2 linked regions of the Arabidopsis thaliana genome follow. The protein of the gene in region 1 binds, or shares a complex with, the protein of each later gene. Each region holds a gene or a part of one and is shown on either strand. Other genes may lie near its edges. The genes, in order: ndhI and NdhN. A codon is read from its position in the direction of its gene.

The links.
Region 2: the proteins of ndhI (region 1) and NdhN are in contact, whole or in part, in a cryo-EM structure (PDB 7WFG), measured with the Arabidopsis thaliana proteins. Residues at the interface, in NP_051113.1 of Arabidopsis thaliana: Tyr44 (codon at 6,598), Ile76 (codon at 6,694), Asp77 (codon at 6,697), Leu78 (codon at 6,700), Pro79 (codon at 6,703), Val80 (codon at 6,706), Val81 (codon at 6,709), Asp82 (codon at 6,712), Asn96 (codon at 6,754), Ser98 (codon at 6,760), Asp100 (codon at 6,766), Ile103 (codon at 6,775), Glu124 (codon at 6,838), Glu126 (codon at 6,844), Thr129 (codon at 6,853), Tyr130 (codon at 6,856), Glu134 (codon at 6,868), Tyr137 (codon at 6,877), Asn138 (codon at 6,880), Ile140 (codon at 6,886), Ala141 (codon at 6,889), Arg144 (codon at 6,898), Leu145 (codon at 6,901), Pro146 (codon at 6,904), Met147 (codon at 6,907); in NP_200634.1 of Arabidopsis thaliana: His81 (codon at 2,066), Asp102 (codon at 2,129), Ile103 (codon at 2,132), Ser104 (codon at 2,135), Ala105 (codon at 2,138), Arg106 (codon at 2,141), Gly107 (codon at 2,144), Leu108 (codon at 2,147), Gly109 (codon at 2,150), Asp110 (codon at 2,153), Pro120 (codon at 2,183), Cys122 (codon at 2,189), Pro123 (codon at 2,192), Ala124 (codon at 2,277), His125 (codon at 2,280), Leu126 (codon at 2,283), Gly127 (codon at 2,286), Ile131 (codon at 2,298), Arg133 (codon at 2,304), Val163 (codon at 2,459), Leu164 (codon at 2,462), Ser165 (codon at 2,465), Lys166 (codon at 2,468).

What each region holds. Positions count from the first base shown.
Region 1 is NC_000932.1:118,177-126,230, reverse strand, and holds ndhI (NADH dehydrogenase subunit I), read left to right. Parts: upstream 1-6,468; coding exon 6,469-6,987; downstream 6,988-8,054. Other genes in the region: rps15 (ribosomal protein S15), read left to right, coding at 2,669-2,935; ndhH (NADH dehydrogenase subunit 7), read left to right, coding at 3,039-4,220; ndhA (NADH dehydrogenase subunit 1), read left to right, coding at 4,222-4,774, 5,855-6,384; ndhG (NADH dehydrogenase subunit 6), read left to right, coding at 7,324-7,854. UniProt on the Arabidopsis thaliana protein: NDH shuttles electrons from NAD(P)H:plastoquinone, via FMN and iron-sulfur (Fe-S) centers, to quinones in the photosynthetic chain and possibly in a chloroplast respiratory chain.
Region 2 is NC_003076.8:23,553,746-23,563,754, reverse strand, and holds NdhN (oxidoreductases, acting on NADH or NADPH, quinone or similar compound as acceptor), read left to right. Parts: upstream 1-1,753; 5' UTR 1,754-1,825; coding exon 1,826-2,194; intron 2,195-2,276; coding exon 2,277-2,393; coding exon of another isoform or gene 2,394-2,399; exon of another isoform or gene 2,400-2,458; coding exon 2,459-2,544; intron 2,545-2,622; coding exon 2,623-2,680; 3' UTR 2,681-3,187; downstream 3,188-10,009. Other genes in the region: ABCB25 (ABC transporter of the mitochondrion 3), read right to left, coding at 222-329, 476-578, 676-719, 800-861, 939-1,587; EMB3143 (YCF54), read right to left, coding at 3,383-3,575, 3,676-3,908, 3,988-4,197; FHIT (FRAGILE HISTIDINE TRIAD), read left to right, coding at 4,442-4,501, 4,584-4,698, 4,865-5,013, 5,116-5,214, 5,287-5,406; MSI1 (Transducin/WD40 repeat-like superfamily protein), read right to left, coding at 5,761-5,989, 6,081-6,176, 6,289-6,413, 6,551-6,703, 6,869-7,195, 7,299-7,643; TTL (transthyretin-like protein), read left to right, coding at 7,894-8,175, 8,256-8,357, 8,443-8,599, 8,776-9,209; AT5G58210 (hydroxyproline-rich glycoprotein family protein), read right to left, coding at 9,710-9,833, 10,000-10,009. UniProt on the Arabidopsis thaliana protein: NDH shuttles electrons from NAD(P)H:plastoquinone, via FMN and iron-sulfur (Fe-S) centers, to quinones in the photosynthetic chain and possibly in a chloroplast respiratory chain.

The sequences.
Region 1 (8,054 bases):
TTCTTCACTTAGCGAAAAAAAAATCAAAAATTTGATTGATAGAAAAAAGACAATCAGAAATCAAATAGAAGAAATTTCAAAAGAAAAACAAAACTTAACTAATAGTTGTACCAAACTGCGTTATGATTCTAAAATAATTGAGTCATCAAAAAAAATTTGGCAGACATTCAAAAGAAAAAATACCCGATTAATTCGTAAATCCATTTTTTTTTTTAAATTTTGCATCGAACAAATGTCTATAGCTATTTTTCTAGGTATCATTAATATTCCAAGAATTACTACACAACTTTTTTTTGAATCAACAAAAAAAATTCTTGATAAATATATTTACAAGAATGAAGAAAATGGAGAAAAAAAAAAAAATACTCTTTATTTTATTTCGACTATAAAAAATTTAATATCCAATAAAAAAAAAATGAGTTATGACCTATGCTCTTTATCACAAGCATATGTATTTTACAAATTATCACAAATTAAAGTTAGTAACTTTTGTAAATTAAAGGCTGTTCTTGAATATAACATATGCATAACATCCTTTTTTGTTAAGAATAAAATAAAGGTTTTTTTTCAAGAACACGGAATCTTTCATTATGAATTGAAAAATAAAACCTTTTTGAATTCCGAAGTAAATCAATGGAAAAACTGGTTACGAAGTCAGTATCAATACAATTTACCCCAGATTTCATGGGCTAGATTAGTAACCCAAAATTGGAAAAATAAAATAAATAAAGATTCTCTAGTTCTAAACCCAAGTTTAACCAAAGAGGATTCATATGAAAAAAAGAAATTTGATAATTATAAAAAACAAAAATTTTTTGAGGCCGACTCATTATTAAATCCAAAACATAATGTAAAAAAAGATTCTATATATAATCTTTTTTGCTATAAATCTATTCATTCTACAGAAAAAAATTTTGACATGTCTATAGGCATTGCCCTAGATAATTGTTTAGTCTCTTCTTTTCTAGAAAAATATAATATTCGGGGTATGGGGGAAATTCGGCATAGAAAATATTTGGATTGGAGAATTCTTAACTTTTGGTTTACAAAAAAAGTAACTATTGAGCCTTGGGTTGATACTAAGAGTAAAAAAAAATATATTAATACTAAAGTTCAGAATTATCAAAAAATTGATAAAATAACGCAGACGGATCTTGCTAATAAAAAAAGAAACTTTTTTGATTGGATGGGAATGAATGAAGAAATACTAAATCAGCGTATAACAAATTTTGAATTTTTTTTCTTTCCGGAATTTTTCTTATTTTCTAGTACATATAAAATGAAACCATGGGTCATACCAATCAAATTACTTCTTTTAAATTTTAATGAAAACATAAATGTTAATAAAAAGATCATTCGAAAGAAAAAAGGTTTTATACCATCAAATGAAAAAGAATCCCTTCGATTTTATAATCTGAATAAAGAAGAAAAAGAATCGGCCGGTCAAGTAGAACTTGAATCAGATAAAGAAACAAAAAGAAATCCCGAAGCAGCTCGATTAAACCAAGAAAAAAATATTGAAGAAAATTTTGCAGAATCAACAATAAAAAAACGTAAAAATAAAAAACAATACAAAAGTAATACAGAAGCGGAACTTGATTTATTTCTGACAAGATATTCGCGTTTTCAATTGCGATGGAATTGTTTTTTTAATCAAAAAATTCTCAATAATGTAAAAGTATACTGTCTCTTGGTTAGACTAAACAATCCAAACGAAATAGCGGTATCTTCTATTGAAAGAGGAGAGATGAGCCTAGACATTCTAATGATTGAGAAAAATTTCACTTTTGCAAAATTAATGAAAAAAGGAATATTGATTATTGAACCTGTGCGTTTGTCTGTACAAAACGATGGACAACTTATTATATATAGAACCATAGGTATTTCATTGGTTCATAAAAATAAACACAAAATAAGTAAAAGATACAAAAAAAAAAGCTATATTAATAAAAAATTTTTTGAAAAATCCATTACAAAATATCAAAACAAAACTGTAAATAAAAAAAAAAATAATTATGATTTCTTTGTCCCTGAAAAAATTCTATCCCCTAAACGACGTAGAGAATTTCGAATTCTAATTTGTTTCAACTTAAAAAAAAAAAATGCTAGGGATACAAATTCAAGATTTGATAAGAATATTCAAAACTTGACCACCGTTTTGCATAAAAAGAAAGATCTTGATCTTGATAAGGATAAAAATAACTTAATTAATTTAAAATCCTTTCTTTGGCCCAATTTTAAATTAGAAGATTTAGCTTGTATGAATCGCTATTGGTTTAATACTACTAACGGAAATCATTTCAGTATGATAAGAATACGCATGTATACGCGATTTCCAATTCCTTAATCATAAATACTTTTTACTATATATAATAAGTTACGGTATATGAAAACAACTATATGCACAAATATGAGGGATTGTTTTAAATTAAATCTTTATACATGAGATTAATTTAATCAATCACATAGATACCAATTATAGCGGATTCATAAATAAATTAACAGAATCCTTCTTTTTGAGATCTAAATTTAGATTTTTTTCTAAAATGAAGAATTAAGAGGTTGATAATTAAATTAAGATCCTTGTACAAAAAAACTACCATTATTATTACTGATCAGTAAAATTAATATCTTTCAATTCATATTAAAAGGGGAAGGATTTCTTTTTATGATAAAAAATATAGTCATTTCATTTGAAGAACAAAAAGAAGAAAGCAGGGGATCCGTTGAATTTCAAGTATTTAGTTTCACTAATAAGATACGAAGACTTACTTCACATTTGGAATTGCACAGAAAAGATTATTTATCTCAGCGGGGTCTACGAAAAATTCTGGGAAAACGTCAACGACTGCTGGCTTATTTGTCAAAAAAAAATAGAGTACGTTATAAAGAATTAATTAATCAGTTGAATATTCGGGAATTAAAAACTCGTTAAATTCAAAAATTGTGAATTAGTGAATTTTTTAGATCTTGAATTTTTTGATAAACTTCTTTATTCAGAAATCTAATTCATGCCAGAACGAATCAAGGAAAAACTTATGAAGAGACCAGTTACAGGAAAAGATCTTATGATAGTCAATATGGGACCTCACCACCCATCCATGCATGGTGTTCTTCGCTTAATTGTTACTCTAGATGGTGAGGATGTTGTTGACTGTGAACCCATATTAGGTTATTTACACAGAGGAATGGAAAAAATTGCAGAAAACCGAGCAATTATACAATATTTACCGTATGTAACGCGATGGGATTATTTAGCTACTATGTTTACAGAAGCAATAACAGTAAATGGACCAGAACAATTGGGAAATATTCAAGTTCCTAAAAGGGCCAGCTATATCAGAGTAATTATGCTGGAATTGAGTCGTATAGCTTCTCATCTGTTATGGCTCGGCCCTTTTATGGCAGATATTGGTGCACAGACTCCCTTTTTCTATATTTTCAGAGAACGAGAATTTGTATATGATCTATTCGAAGCTGCCACCGGTATGAGAATGATGCATAATTTTTTTCGTATTGGAGGAATAGCGGCTGATTTACCTTATGGTTGGATAGATAAATGCTTGGATTTTTGTGATTATTTTTTAACAGAGGTTGTTGAATATCAAAAACTCATTACACGAAATCCTATTTTTTTAGAACGGGTTGAAGGAGTTGGGATTATTGGTGGGGAAGAAGCAATAAATTGGGGTTTATCCGGACCAATGCTACGCGCATCCGGAATACCATGGGATCTTCGTAAAATTGATCGTTATGAGTCTTACGATGAATTTGAATGGGAAATTCAATGGCAAAAACAAGGAGATTCATTAGCTCGTTATTTAGTACGACTTAGCGAAATGACAGAATCCATAAAAATTATTCAACAGGCTCTGGAAGGACTTCCAGGGGGTCCCTATGAGAATTTAGAAAGCAGGGGCTTTGATAGAAAAAGGAATCCAGAATGGAATGATTTTGAATATCGATTCATTAGTAAAAAACCTTCTCCTACTTTTGAATTATCAAAACAAGAACTTTATGTAAGAGTTGAAGCTCCAAAAGGGGAGTTGGGAATTTTTCTCATAGGAGATCAAAGCGGTTTTCCTTGGAGATGGAAAATACGACCACCGGGTTTTATTAATTTGCAAATTCTTCCTGAACTAGTTAAAAGAATGAAATTGGCTGATATTATGACGATACTCGGTAGCATAGATATAATTATGGGAGAAGTTGATCGTTAAAATGATAATTTATGCAACAGCAGTCCAAACTATAAATTCTTTTGTTAAATTGGAATCTTTAAAAGAGGTCTATGGACTCATATGGATATTTGTCCCTATATTTTCTCTTGTATTGGGAATCATAACAGGTGTACTAGTAATTGTGTGGTTAGAAAGAGAAATATCTGCAGGGATACAACAACGTATTGGACCTGAATACGCCGGCCCGTTGGGAATTCTTCAAGCTCTAGCCGATGGGACAAAACTACTTTTCAAAGAAAATCTTCGTCCATCTAGAGGAAATACTCCTTTATTTAGTATTGGACCATCTATAGCAGTTATCTCTATTTTACTAAGTTATTCAGTAATTCCCTTTAGCAATCACCTTGTTTTAGCGGATCTCAATATCGGTATTTTTTTATGGATTGCCATCTCAAGTATTGCTCCTATTGGACTTCTTATGTCAGGATATGGATCAAATAATAAATATTCTTTTTTAGGTGGTCTGCGAGCTGCTGCCCAATCGATTAGTTATGAAATACCATTAACTCTATGTGTTTTATCAATATCTCTACGTGCGATTCGTTGAAACAGAAACGTTTATTTTTACTATTCCGTTTCTTCTAGACGAATCAGTTAAAAAACGGAATATATATTTATCTTTCGAATTAATCGAAATAATTAATAAAAGGAATTTGATAGTTATATATGAGTGAAAAAAAAACTGCTCTGAAATTTGCAGTAAAACGAAAAATGAGTCTCATTTCCTATGTACAAAGGTTAAACGGAAATAAACATAAGTGTAAGAATCACTTTACCCCAAGGTTGGTTGATTAGTCATCCTGACTTGAAGCGGGTTAAATATATTAACCGGTAACCGGATGACGTTTTCACTATCAGTTATATAGATTAACATACATGTATTACAAAGTGAGCGGCAATTAGGTAAAAGTGAGTGGATGGTTAGAAACACCAAAATACACAAAGAATTTGTAATAGAGATTAACCAAATTGAAAAGGATATTTAGGCCTAACATAAGATAAAAAAAAGAAGGTTAATTGGGGCTTTAAATTAGTAGAAATGATCAGACAGTACTCCCCAAGATTCCGATTCAGAGTATGCTCCTATCCACCGACAAATGTAATGACTATCAGAAACGAAATAATCCTTTATTTTTTATAAGTCTACCAACTTTTTTCTAAAAAAGAAAGAAGAATAGGAACGAAACAAGGCTCTTTTTTTTTTCATATATTTCGAAAATAAAATCGAATTTCTGTCATGAATAATAAAAAAATAGGATGTCTAATTATTTTTCGTAATCGAAAACCACGATGGGCTTAAATACTTTTTTTTTTTAGGAGTTTTTTATTAAAGGGTTAAGTTATTACTCAACAAATAGAAATTCAAATTTGTAAAGGGGTGAGATGAATTCCGAAGCGCGTTTTTTATTCTTAGAATTTGAGCAGACAGAATTCCATTGGTATAATTCGGGACCCCAGATATATTTAATCCATTTTAGAACACATCATATCCATCTAAATTATAATCTGGTCCTTAGATTTATTTATGGCCCCCGAGGAGCCGTATGAGGCCAAGACCTCATGTACGGTTCTGAAATAGCGGTGAAAATAGTAATGTTCTCGCCGACTAGGATTATCTAACAGTTTAAGTACAGTTGATATAGTTGAGGCACAATCAAAATATGGTTTTTGGGGATGGAATTTGTGGCGTCAACCTATAGGTTTTATCATTTTTCTAATTTCTTCCCTAGCAGAATGCGAGAGGTTACCGTTTGATTTACCAGAAGCGGAAGAAGAATTAATAGCAGGTTATCAAACTGAATATTCAGGTATAAAATTTGGTTTATTTTACGTTGCTTCTTATCTAAATCTATTAATTTCCTCATTATTTGTAACAGTTCTATACTTAGGCGGTTGGAATATTTCTATTCCGTATATATCTATTCTGGAGCTATTTCAAAGGGATCAAATTTTTGGAACAACAATTGGTATCTTTATTACATTAGCTAAAACTTATTTGTTTTTGTTCGTTTCTATCGCAACAAGATGGACTTTACCTAGGCTAAGAATGGATCAACTATTAAATCTTGGATGGAAATTTCTTTTACCTATTTCCCTTGGTAATCTATTATTAACCACTTCTTTCCAACTCTTTTCACTCTAAATTTAAAATGAATCTAATATATTCATTATTTGTTTTAAACAAGAGACAGAAACAAAGATAAAATTATTCAGAGATAATTACAATATGCTTCCTATGATAACCGGGTTCATGAATTATGGTCAACAAACCCTACGAGCTGCAAGGTATATTGGTCAAGGTTTCATGATTACCTTATCCCACACAAATCGTTTACCTGTAACTATTCAATATCCCTATGAAAAATTAATAACATCGGAACGTTTCCGCGGTCGAATCCATTTTGAATTTGATAAATGCATTGCTTGTGAAGTATGTGTTCGAGTATGTCCTATAGATTTGCCTGTTGTTGATTGGAAATTGGAAACTAATATTCGAAAAAAACGATTGCTTAATTACAGTATTGATTTTGGAATTTGTATATTTTGTGGTAATTGTGTTGAGTATTGTCCAACAAATTGTTTGTCAATGACTGAAGAATATGAATTTTCCACTTATGATCGTCACGAATTGAATTATAATCAAATAGCTTTGGGTCGTTTACCAATGTCAGTAATTGACGATTACACTATTCGAACAATTTGGAATTCACCTCAAACAAAAAATGGGGTAAACCCTTTAATTTGATTAAAAAAAGAATTCCAAGTTGTTGAATTATATTTATATAAAGAATTTAATTAAAAACTTGTATTGTATTTATATAATAATAATAATATTAAGTATTAAGGCACATTCTTTTAATATAATATATTCGTAATTACTTTCTTGAAATTGATAGGTTGAAAATACACTTTAGAAAAAAAAAAAGAGAAAACAGCCTAATACTAATAATTGTATCTACATCAATTCATATCCATTAGATTCTAATTTCACTCTATTTAGAAACATATAAAAAACAAATTTCCTGGTTAAATTAATAAGGTCATGAAAAGGATTTCGATTTTTTCTTATTTTAATAATATAATGGATTTGCCTGGACCAATACATGATTTTCTTTTAGTTTTTCTGGGATCCGGTCTTCTAGTAGGGGGTCTGGGAGTGGTATTACTTCCCAACCCAATATTTTCAGCCTTTTCCTTAGGATTTGTTCTTGTTTGTATATCTTTATTGTATATTCTATCAAATTCCCATTTTGTAGCTGCTGCACAACTCCTTATTTATGTGGGGGCCATAAATGTTTTAATCATATTTGCTGTGATGTTCATGAATGATTCAGAATATTCCACAGATTTCAATCTGTGGACCATTGGGAATGGGATTACTTCGTTGGTTTGTACAACTATTCTTTTTTTATTAATGTCTACTATTCTCGATACGTCATGGTACGGGGTTATTTGGACTACAAAATTAAACCAGATTCTAGAGCAAGATTTAATAAGTAATAGTCAACAAATAGGAATTCATTTATCAACAGATTTTTTTCTGCCATTTGAACTCATTTCAATAATTCTTTTAGTTGCTTTGATAGGTGCAATTTCTGTGGCTCGTCAATAAAAAATGTTCTAAATTATTAAAGACCAAAGAAAACTTTGTGTATGTTATGATTTTTTCCGTTCATTCAATTAAATTTGATTGAATACTATTTCATATTTTAAGGATCAATTTTTATATTTGATATATATTTGTATTTGATATATATTTGAAAATTTTTTTTACCTAAATATTTTTTTTATTCGTACTTTTTTGTTATATTC
Region 2 (10,009 bases), on another chromosome or scaffold:
ATACATCATCAAACCTAATATCACAACTAGAATGATTTAAGCCGATCCAAAGAGTTGATACAGTTAAGATTAGAGAAGCTTAGTAACGAATTCCAGAACAATGTATACTATAGTAGTTTCTTAAATAAAATATCACAGTTATTGCTGGATTATCATGATAATAACGCAAGTATTGCATTATAGTTGGCATTGAAAAGAGAATACCGAAAAAGGCACAGTACCTGTGTCACAGCTAATGTGAAAACGATATATGATCCAACGGAGAGAGAAGTAATCCAGGCAAAAGCAGCTCCAAACTTGTATGCCAGTATACCTGATACCATAGATATCTGAAAGATACATATTAATTACGTCGAGTGTTTTTAGAGACGAATGAATAGTGAAATCCAAATATGAATGAGCAACTGCCAATTATTCAAAATGAGAAAAAAAACAATGATCATGAGAAAGCACCAAGTGGTCAGACAAGCTTTACCTCCAATATGGTAGGAACAACATTGAAAACCATAGCTGAGAGGATAAAATTTATTGCACGGCTACCACGATCAATAATCCTGTTCAAGCCGCCTGTTTCTCGACTGGACATAAGCAATTAAGTAAGGAAGTTATGATGAGATGAATCTAAGATGGAATGAGCGAGACTACTCACAAGAGTAAGAGAGGAGAGATAGATACCTTAGGTGGTAACGAAGGTCAAGATCATGTAAATGTGAGAACACCTGCAAAGCGACCATATGAAATTGATTCATACATTAAAATATCTCTATCGACAAGATAGTTTAGAGCAGCAGCAGCATACCTTTCTAGAAACAGATCGTATTGTTCGGAGAGCTACCTTAGAGAACACAGCAGTACGAAGTTCTGCGATGATGAAAAGTAACAACCAAGAGTGAAAAGTGCATTCTTTTTTAAAGAAAACTAGAGCTATTGAGAGTTACCATTAAAAGCAGAAGAACCCGTCCGAGCAATCCCGTATCCAATGAGAACAGCAGCAGGAGTAGCAAAAACAGTAAGAAGAGTTGGGTTTGTAGCAGCGAAGGTGGTAAGTGAGGCTCCAGTACCGGTAGCTGAAGCAAGCCAATCAACAGCTAATTTGAAGAGGAAAGGGACTTGGACATTCAAGACCTTAGCACCCACGAGAAAACCCAAAGCAGCGATGACCCTGAAACGGAATTCTGGATTGTCTCTCATCCACAAATAGCCAGCAAGCGTACGGAGAATCTTCATGTCAGCCATAGCTGAGTCTGAATCCGACGAGGTTGTCTTGATTTCCTTAGTCTTGGTGGTGGTTTGGTCTGGATTGGGAGTAGAAGTCGAGAAGAGACGACCATTAAGCATTGAACTCCGTTGAACAAAACGAATTGGGGATGGTGATGGTGACGGGGATGGTGAGTTATCTGAGAGGAAGGCATTGATAACCGGAGATGTTCGAATTGAGTTACGTCTGATGTAATTGGAGAAACCATTATGAAGACGATAATCAGAGCGAAGACTGTAGGAAAAAGATGGGATTTTGGGTTGAGGTTGAAGATTAACGCGACAGAGTAAGAGCCCAGGAGCCCTAACGAATCGAGATCCTCTCGACATCCCTTCTTCTCCGAAAGTTTCACAGACTGAATTTTGCTCCGGCGAGCTAGCTAACAATGTCACGACGTTCGGCGGTGCTTAATGGGCCTAATAAATAAAGCCCAATACATTTTAAGCCCATTAATGTCTATCCCTTTGTGGAGTGAGTCGTCGTTTCTCCACCATTCTTTCATCATCATCGTCGTCAAGCAATGTTTATTATGAGCTACTTCCACAAGAAGTCATTGTTAGTAAAGAAATGGGAAGCCGTGCAATATGTATACAACGTGTGGCACCACCGTGTTTTGAAGCCTCGCAAGTGAAGAAGATCAAAACAGTTGGTTCCTTTTTGGTGAATACTAGGAGTAAGAGAAGAAGAAGCACTGGTGTGAAATGTAGCAGCATAGCTGACTACATCGGAGGTGACTTGGTGAAGCCGGACATCGGACAATGGCTTCAAGACGTGGAAGAACACAAGGCAATCGCCATTTACGCTCCTCATGAGGGTGGTTACGAAGGTCGTTATCTTAACCGTCTCAAAATGCAGGGCTACTACTTTCTTGACATCTCTGCTCGTGGCCTTGGTGACCCTGAGACTACCCTTCTCAAGAACTACCCTGTTTGCCCTGTATGTCTACTTTCATCCATCTTCTACTTTAATCTTGTTTCAATATAATTTTGTGTGAACCATGTATCTTCTCTTCTTTTAGGCTCATCTTGGGAAACAACCTATAGCAAGATGGTATTATCCACCAGAAGTTGATTACAGGCTCGCTGCTCTTCCCCCTAGTGCCAAGGGTCTTGTTGTATGGGTCCTCGAAGCAAAGGTTTGAGTTTCTCTCATTTGATCTGTTCTCCCACATGCTCTTTCTCATATTTCCATTTCACTCAGGTCCTCTCAAAATCGGAGCTTCAATTTCTCGCTTTACTTCCCTCTCTTCGTCCTAACGTCAGGGTTATTGCTGAATGTGGCAACTGGTGAGTATATCATTCCTTACCATACACACTAATCATCTATGTTTGCAATTTGCATGACCATTACCAATTCCCCTGCAGGAGAAAGTTCGTGTGGAAGCCTCTAGCAGAAATTGCAAATCTAGCTGCACAAGAGTAACTTAATGGCACAAGTGGAGCTACCAGTGTATAGTTTTTCATGAATGCATCTCCCGCAAGTGTAGCAATACTCATCCCATAGTAAAAGTTAAAATCTGTATTTGTAACTTGGTAGTATATTCCCATGGAGTAGTTAAAGATAATTTCTGACTCTGCTTTGTCACAAATAAAAGTATGTATAATCAGTAAGATTGATAGGACACGCTTAGATACAGACTACAGAGCAATCCAGAAGTACAACATAGAACACTTGATTCAGCAGAAACATGTGCAACTTACTTTGATCAACTCCAGTCACTAGACCTAACGAGTAACAACATGTTCCGAGTCCACAAATCGTTTTGAAAACCAAAAAATTCAGATCTTTTGCAAAGTTCTTCAGCGAGTAGGCATATTGCCCTCCTGTGACTAGACAACTTAATACCTAGAGCTTTAACTGAAGGTTCTTGCCAATATTCTCGTGAGAAATCAACAAATATGGTCACCCTTAAGACTTTGATGGAGCTAAATGTGAGGATGCTTTTTGTTGTCTAGTTCTATGCTTAACCTTGAGTCAGTGACGTATCAAACAGGCAACTTTGAGTAATAGAAGCTACACTAGGAAAGATATAGACTTGGATAATGAGCTCAGTAGTACAAAACTTTGAAGCACTAAGACAAAGCTGAGATTGGAGAATGCAAAAACAAGACAAAAAGCAAAGTTCTATACTGCAGATTCTTGGGTTACTTTAGGCAAGAAGGTATCCCACCATCCAGGTTCATACTTGGGGTATGGCGCCACCCAATTTTTAGGCTTATCGAACTCAAGAGTGGTAGGATTGGAGGCCAAAGCTTCATCAAGAGAGGTAGCTTCAAAGGAATCATACAGAACACGATCCAATCTTAACTTCATAAACCTGCCATAAAACAACAAATTGCAAAACACAAATGCGTTAGATAAGGAGGGAGTGAGGAACGTAATTTTGAAAAGAGAGAGATTGGGATTAGGGTTCTAACGTGATCCAGGTGCCATTGGTGGAAACAAGAGCAACAGCAGGACGACGAAGTCTTTGAGTAATTTTGGGGAAATTGTCAAGGAATTTAGGCTCAATGACAAGCCAGAAGTCTTGCACTAATTCACGCTCACCGAAGTAACGGAGACGTTCAAACAATTGCTCCTGGAAGTGCTCCTCTTCGTCAAGCATGAATTTAGCGTTTGCTACCAGGAAATGGTACTTGGTGCTCTCTCCCTGCAATCATCCAGAAAACGTAAGCTGTTTGGTTTGATTGGTCAAGAGGAAAAGAGAGAGAGAGAAAGAAAAGAGAAACCTTGTTAACAGAAGACTGTTGCTCGATGGAGGTAGCTGCGGTTTTGAAAGAGGAGGAGAAATGTGATGATGGTAGAGACAGAGAAGGCGAAGAGAGATGGAGTTTCTTTGTCTGCTTGGGAAAGGAAGAGGAGATGAGAAAGGGTTTCGTACGGCAAGCGGCGGCGGTAGGCGGCACCGCCACAGTCAATGCTCCGGTGACGCTCCACATTTGCTGCTGATTAGAGTCTGTTGATCGAGGCAGAATCTGTAAAAATCTTATCTTTTTTGCCGGGGGTCATCCATTATTATCATCACTCTCTCTCTCCCTTTCTCAACTCAATTTTTAATTGATTTTAATGTTATTTGGGCTTCAGTAATGGCCCAATAAGGTGTTATGGGTTTCTTCAAGCCCGTAAGAAAGAAAAGGGAAAGGCGTTAACTGTGACTTTCATGGCGACGGAGGCGGAGCTGAGATGCTGAACCTGCAAGTAACCGGGAAGACGATCTTATCTAGTATTCGTTGTCAGAGAAAGGTAAGTTCCTTATACGATCCAACATTTTGTCTCTACTTTACAAGTTAGAAGGATTGATTTTTGAGTGTTTTGATTGCTGCAGATGTCGTCTACTTGTTCTTCGTACGCATTTGGGCCGTACAAAATCGATCCCCGTGAAGTGTTCTACGCAACGCCTCTCTCTTATGCCATGGTTAATCTCCGTCCGCTTCTTCCTGGTATGCCTCATTCCTCTCTAATTATTCATCGAACCTCTTCAACTTTCTTCTGACCTTCTTTTTCATCTATTTTTTGCAGGTCATATCCTTCTTTTTTTTGTGTGTTCTTCATTTTTCGGTTTTGTTTTGTAAATTGAGTTCTATTGGATGACTTTAACCAGACGAGCACATGTTCTTGTCTGCCCGAGACGCCTTGTGCCACGATTTACTGATCTTACAGCTGATGAGACCAGTGACCTGTGGCTTACTGCTCAGAAGGTTGGCTCTAAGCTTGAGACCTTCCATAATGCGTCTTCTCTCACATTAGCCATCCAAGTAAACTAAACATCTCCTTTCTTTCGTCATTGTTTCTTGCGTCTAAATCTTAATGGATTGGAATTGAAACGATCTAACTTTGGTTTCATGAAAATGGCTTAGGATGGCCCTCAAGCGGGACAGACTGTTCCCCATGTACACATTCATATCTTGCCTCGTAAAGGTGGTGACTTTGAGAAGAATGATGAAATCTATGATGCTGTAAGTTGTTGCATTTTGATCACATTCCTAGCTTTGGTTTTATACAAATCTTATGGTGGTATCTTCTTGTAGCTTGATGAGAAGGAGAAGGAACTGAAGCAGAAGCTTGATCTAGATAAAGACCGGGTTGATAGGAGCATTCAGGAGATGGCTGACGAGGCTTCCCAATACAGATCTCTTTTCGATTGCTAGTTATCATTTATCAATATCAAATCAAACCAAGCTATCCAGTAGCTTTAATAAGGACCATTGTGACAAGTGACTTTCAGTTTGAAATTTTATGTCAGAGACTTTGATTCAAATTTGTAATTTCTTTCTAATGTCGCCCAATCTGGGTATAAACTAAGAGTTATAGCTTTGGTTGACACTACTTAGTGAGATTAGAATCAACTCCTTCATGTTATAAAGAAAAATTCCCACTTGCTACCATCCTCTCATGCCTCATTTTACACAATGAACACTAAATACTTGAACTAAACAATAGCAGAGATGTATAAATAAATACTGTCCCATAAGATCAGTGCGCTTTGGATACTAAATAACAAGCTAAGAAGCTTTTGATGGTTCTTCCCCTGGAGCGTCATCCTCATCATGATAGATGTTTTCAGCCATTTGCCATATTTGGAGTATGTTGTCCTCAGCAACACTGGAAATAACCCAATCTTCACAAGGGTTCCACGAGAAATCTGAAATTTTGCTAGTGTGACCACCGTGAATAAACAGCAGCTCAGGTGGGCCGTCTTCTGCGTCCTCCACTGTCTGTTCCTCATCGATCCTATCATAAGACACCCTCAAACATATCAATATTGCTCCTCCATGACCATACATGAACATTAAACTAAAGAACTAAAGTCTACGGCCCAAACCTGCTAAGGTCCCAAACCATAAGTCTTCTACCAAGGCAACATGAAGCTAAAATAGTCTCGTTCTTTGGGTTCCAACCAACTTGAAAAACCTCCTCTCTGGAGATCAAGCACATAATTAAGGTTAGTGATGTTGCTGTAACTTGTAAATACTTCTTAGTAACACAAAATCCATCTCAAAGCGGCAATATTTATGGCGTATCATTCTTACTTGTGGCTATCAAATGTGTGAAGAGCGGTGCTTAGCTTCCGTAGATCGAATAATTTAACAGTCTTGTCAGTTGATCCTGTTGCCACAACCCACTCATTAAATGGATTGAAGGCTAAGCAGTTAACCTAAGGCATTTCAAACAACTCAACAATTAGCAAATACATACGAGGCAATATGATTCAATGGTTTTTAGTGTTAAGGAAAGCAAGCTTAAAAACCAGAAGTATTATCTGTATCTAAAGCTAATATATTGCAAACTCACCTCCATCGAATGAGCAACCACAGACTGTACTGGTTTACTGGCAGATGGAGAACGCAGATCCCATATGAGAAGGTATTGGTCATCTCCAACTGATCCAAACAGGTACTCATGTCTCAGATGCCATGCAACATCTTCCACAACCCCTTCATGAGCCTTAAGTTCAGAAAATAATCATCAGCAAGGAAAACACAGAAACCAACCTGAATATCTATCTATGAGCTTTCATAAGTGTAACTGATTCCGTTAAGTGGGTGCAATTCCTTCCTTTCTAGATGATACAAAACAAAACTAAAAACGAATAGAAATCCAAAGCATTACCTTAAAAATCTGCTGAGCGTCCAGAGATTTGTTTTTAGGAGTAGCGTTAATATCCCACAAGCAGATCTGAGCATCATCAGAGCCACTAAGCAAATGACCCTGCTTGAACTTACTCCAAGAGAGACCATATCCCTCAGAGCTGTGACCTCTAAGCTTTAAATCAGGATTACAAGCCCCATCAAGAGGAGGCTTAGATGGATGCTTACTGTAATCGAAAACATAGACCTCCGCATTAACTGTCTTGGTAGCAATTATGAAAGGGTTTTGAGGCATATAGCGAGCTCGATTAACCTCACCATCATGATTTATCTGCTGGATAATTTGTACCTACACAAGCAATCAAACTAACATTTATCATCCTTTACCTCGTTATAACCCTAGAATCAAATCTAGAAAGTTGGAAATGAGAAACAAAAATAAAAAATCGCACCTTTCCAGTTGCACAGCCAAAGCCACCAAATTCAGAGCGGTCATCATCGTACTGACGAGCTTCACTCTCGGTATCGTCAAGAGGAAGCTGAACTTGGGCTAGCATCAAGTAATTGGGCTCGCTCTCGGAGGTATGGGTACCGAGAATCATCTTCTGAACGGAGTAGTCTTTACCGGAAGGTTCTTCACGGTCAGGAAGCCATTCAACAGTAAGTGAAGGCCACTCGAGAGCGTGAGTAATAACGAGATCGTAGAGGAAAGGAGTGTTCTTCTTCCAGATCTTGTACTCTTCATTGATTAGTCGCTCCTCGATCTCACCTCGCATTTCCTCTTCGTCTTTCCCCATATCGGCGATGTCTTTGTTATTCCCGCCACAAGAACAAGGCAAAACCCTAAAACAGATCTCTTTACAAATTGTAAGAAACTTCTCGCTTCTGTTTCTGAATAATTCACATATAGAAGATGATGAATAAAAAAAGGAAGAAGATAAAGAAAAGGCCCATTTTTGAAAAGCCCGTTTATGAAAAGGCCCAATTAGATGACTTTTGATCTTACACCAGTCAACAGAAGTGAGGATTGGAGAAAAGAGAGAAAAAATGGCGATGGAGATCGGAGAAGATGAATGGAAGGTTTGCTGTGGAAGCTCCGAATTCGCGAAGCAGATGTCTACGTCTGGACCGTTAACTTCTCAAGAAGCAATATATACTGCAAGAGACATCTGGTTCAACCAAGTTAATGTGACAGATTGGCTTGAAGCTTTCTCTGCTCATCCTCAGATTGGGAATACTCCTTCACCTTCTATCAACTCCGATTTTGCTCGTCGGAGCGTATCAGAACAGTCAACCGCCTTTGCCACAACTTCTGCTTCTGCTTTACAGGTGATGGATCTTCACTTTTTTTTTCCTTCATCTCTTCAGTGATTTCTTCTTCTGATGATCAATTGTTTTCAATTTCTTAGGAGCTTGCCGAATGGAATGTACTTTACAAAAAGAAGTTTGGCTTTATCTTCATTATTTGCGCTTCTGGCAGGACTCACGCTGAGATGCTCCATGCGTTAAAGGTCAACTTTTGCATTTCCAAATCAGTTTTTGTTGAGTGTGAGTGAATGAGAAAGTTACATATTCATCAAATCGTCTCTTTTTCAGGAAAGGTATGAAAATAGGCCAATAGTGGAGCTTGAGATTGCTGCTATGGAACAAATGAAAATAACAGAGCTACGAATGGCAAAGCTGTTCTCCGATAAGGCTAAAGTTATATCAGAAACTGACAGCTCTAGCTCTCCTGTTTCAACAAAACCTCAAGGTATATTGATGATTTACCAAATCTTTTCCTTGTCAAAGTTTTGTGTTTGACTGTGTGGGTTTGAACCTGTTAGGATTCAGTATGATATCAAGTATGTGTCTTTTGGAATACAAGGATTTACCCTTATGGCTATCTTTGTTATCTGTGTGACCTTTTCTACTTTCTCGCTTTGTAAGATCGTCTGAGAATCATTGGAGGGCATTTGAATGTTGCAGCTGAAGCAAAAGCTCCCAAGAGAAGTAGGCCACCGATCACGACTCATGTCTTAGACGTCTCACGTGGTGCTCCAGCTGCAGGTGTTGAAGTGCACTTAGAAGTGTGGAGTGGTACTACCGGTCCTTCCTTTGTTCATGGAGGTGGTGGGGTCTGGTCCAGTGTGGGCACATCAGCTACTGATAGAGATGGGCGCAGTGGGCCACTGATGGATTTGGTTGACGCTTTGAATCCAGGGACATATAGGATTAGCTTCGACACTGCAAAGTATTCCCCAGGCTGCTTCTTTCCCTATGTTTCCATTGTATTTCAGGTTACAGAATCACAGAAATGGGAGCATTTCCATGTCCCACTGTTGCTTGCACCTTTTTCTTTCTCCACATACCGTGGGAGCTAGAGCTATGCTACTGCTGTCTGCGGCACCAACTTTCCAACACATTTTGTTTTGGTTGTACCACTACGGGAACATGTATCAAAATTGCTATGAAATGAAGTCTTTATTCGACATGTATAAAAATTGCTATGAAATAATGTCTATTCGAGTATTTATTTGGATTTGTAGTTCTGTAGAACAAACAATGAATTAGCGAAAATACGAGCTTTGATCTAGACTCATTGTGAGTAGGACAACGATAGTATAGATTACCATGTTAAACATCTTGGGAGATTCTATACCTTTGTACAAAATGGTCGATCACAAAACAAGCCTCTAAAACTGTTGTGTGTTTTAATCTAGACTCATAGCCAGCAGGACAATAATAGTCTAGATTAAGACATCTTGGTCGATTCCAAACCTTTGCGCAAAATGTCAAAACAAAACAGCTTCTACTGGTATACTTTACACACCTCTACCTACCCTTCCTGAGCGTGTCTAAAGCTCCCTGGCTATATCTACCCTCATCTCCAAAAGTTCGCAAATTCTTTCGCAAATGACATTATGTTGCTCCACGAACTTGACCTTTCTTTCACCTCACCAGTTTCCGTCTCTTTCACCTCACCGGCTCCTGTCTCTGAAATTTGTCTGTAAAAACAAAAGATATAAGAATTCAAACTGAAGTGGTGCCAATATGATCAACTTGAATGACTTTTTCTATTACTCAAAAACAAGAGATCCATCAATGAAGTAAATTATCCTAATATAAGGATCGGACCAGTAAAGAAGAGACCTAGTTGTATGCATTTGATACCTGGTCTCAG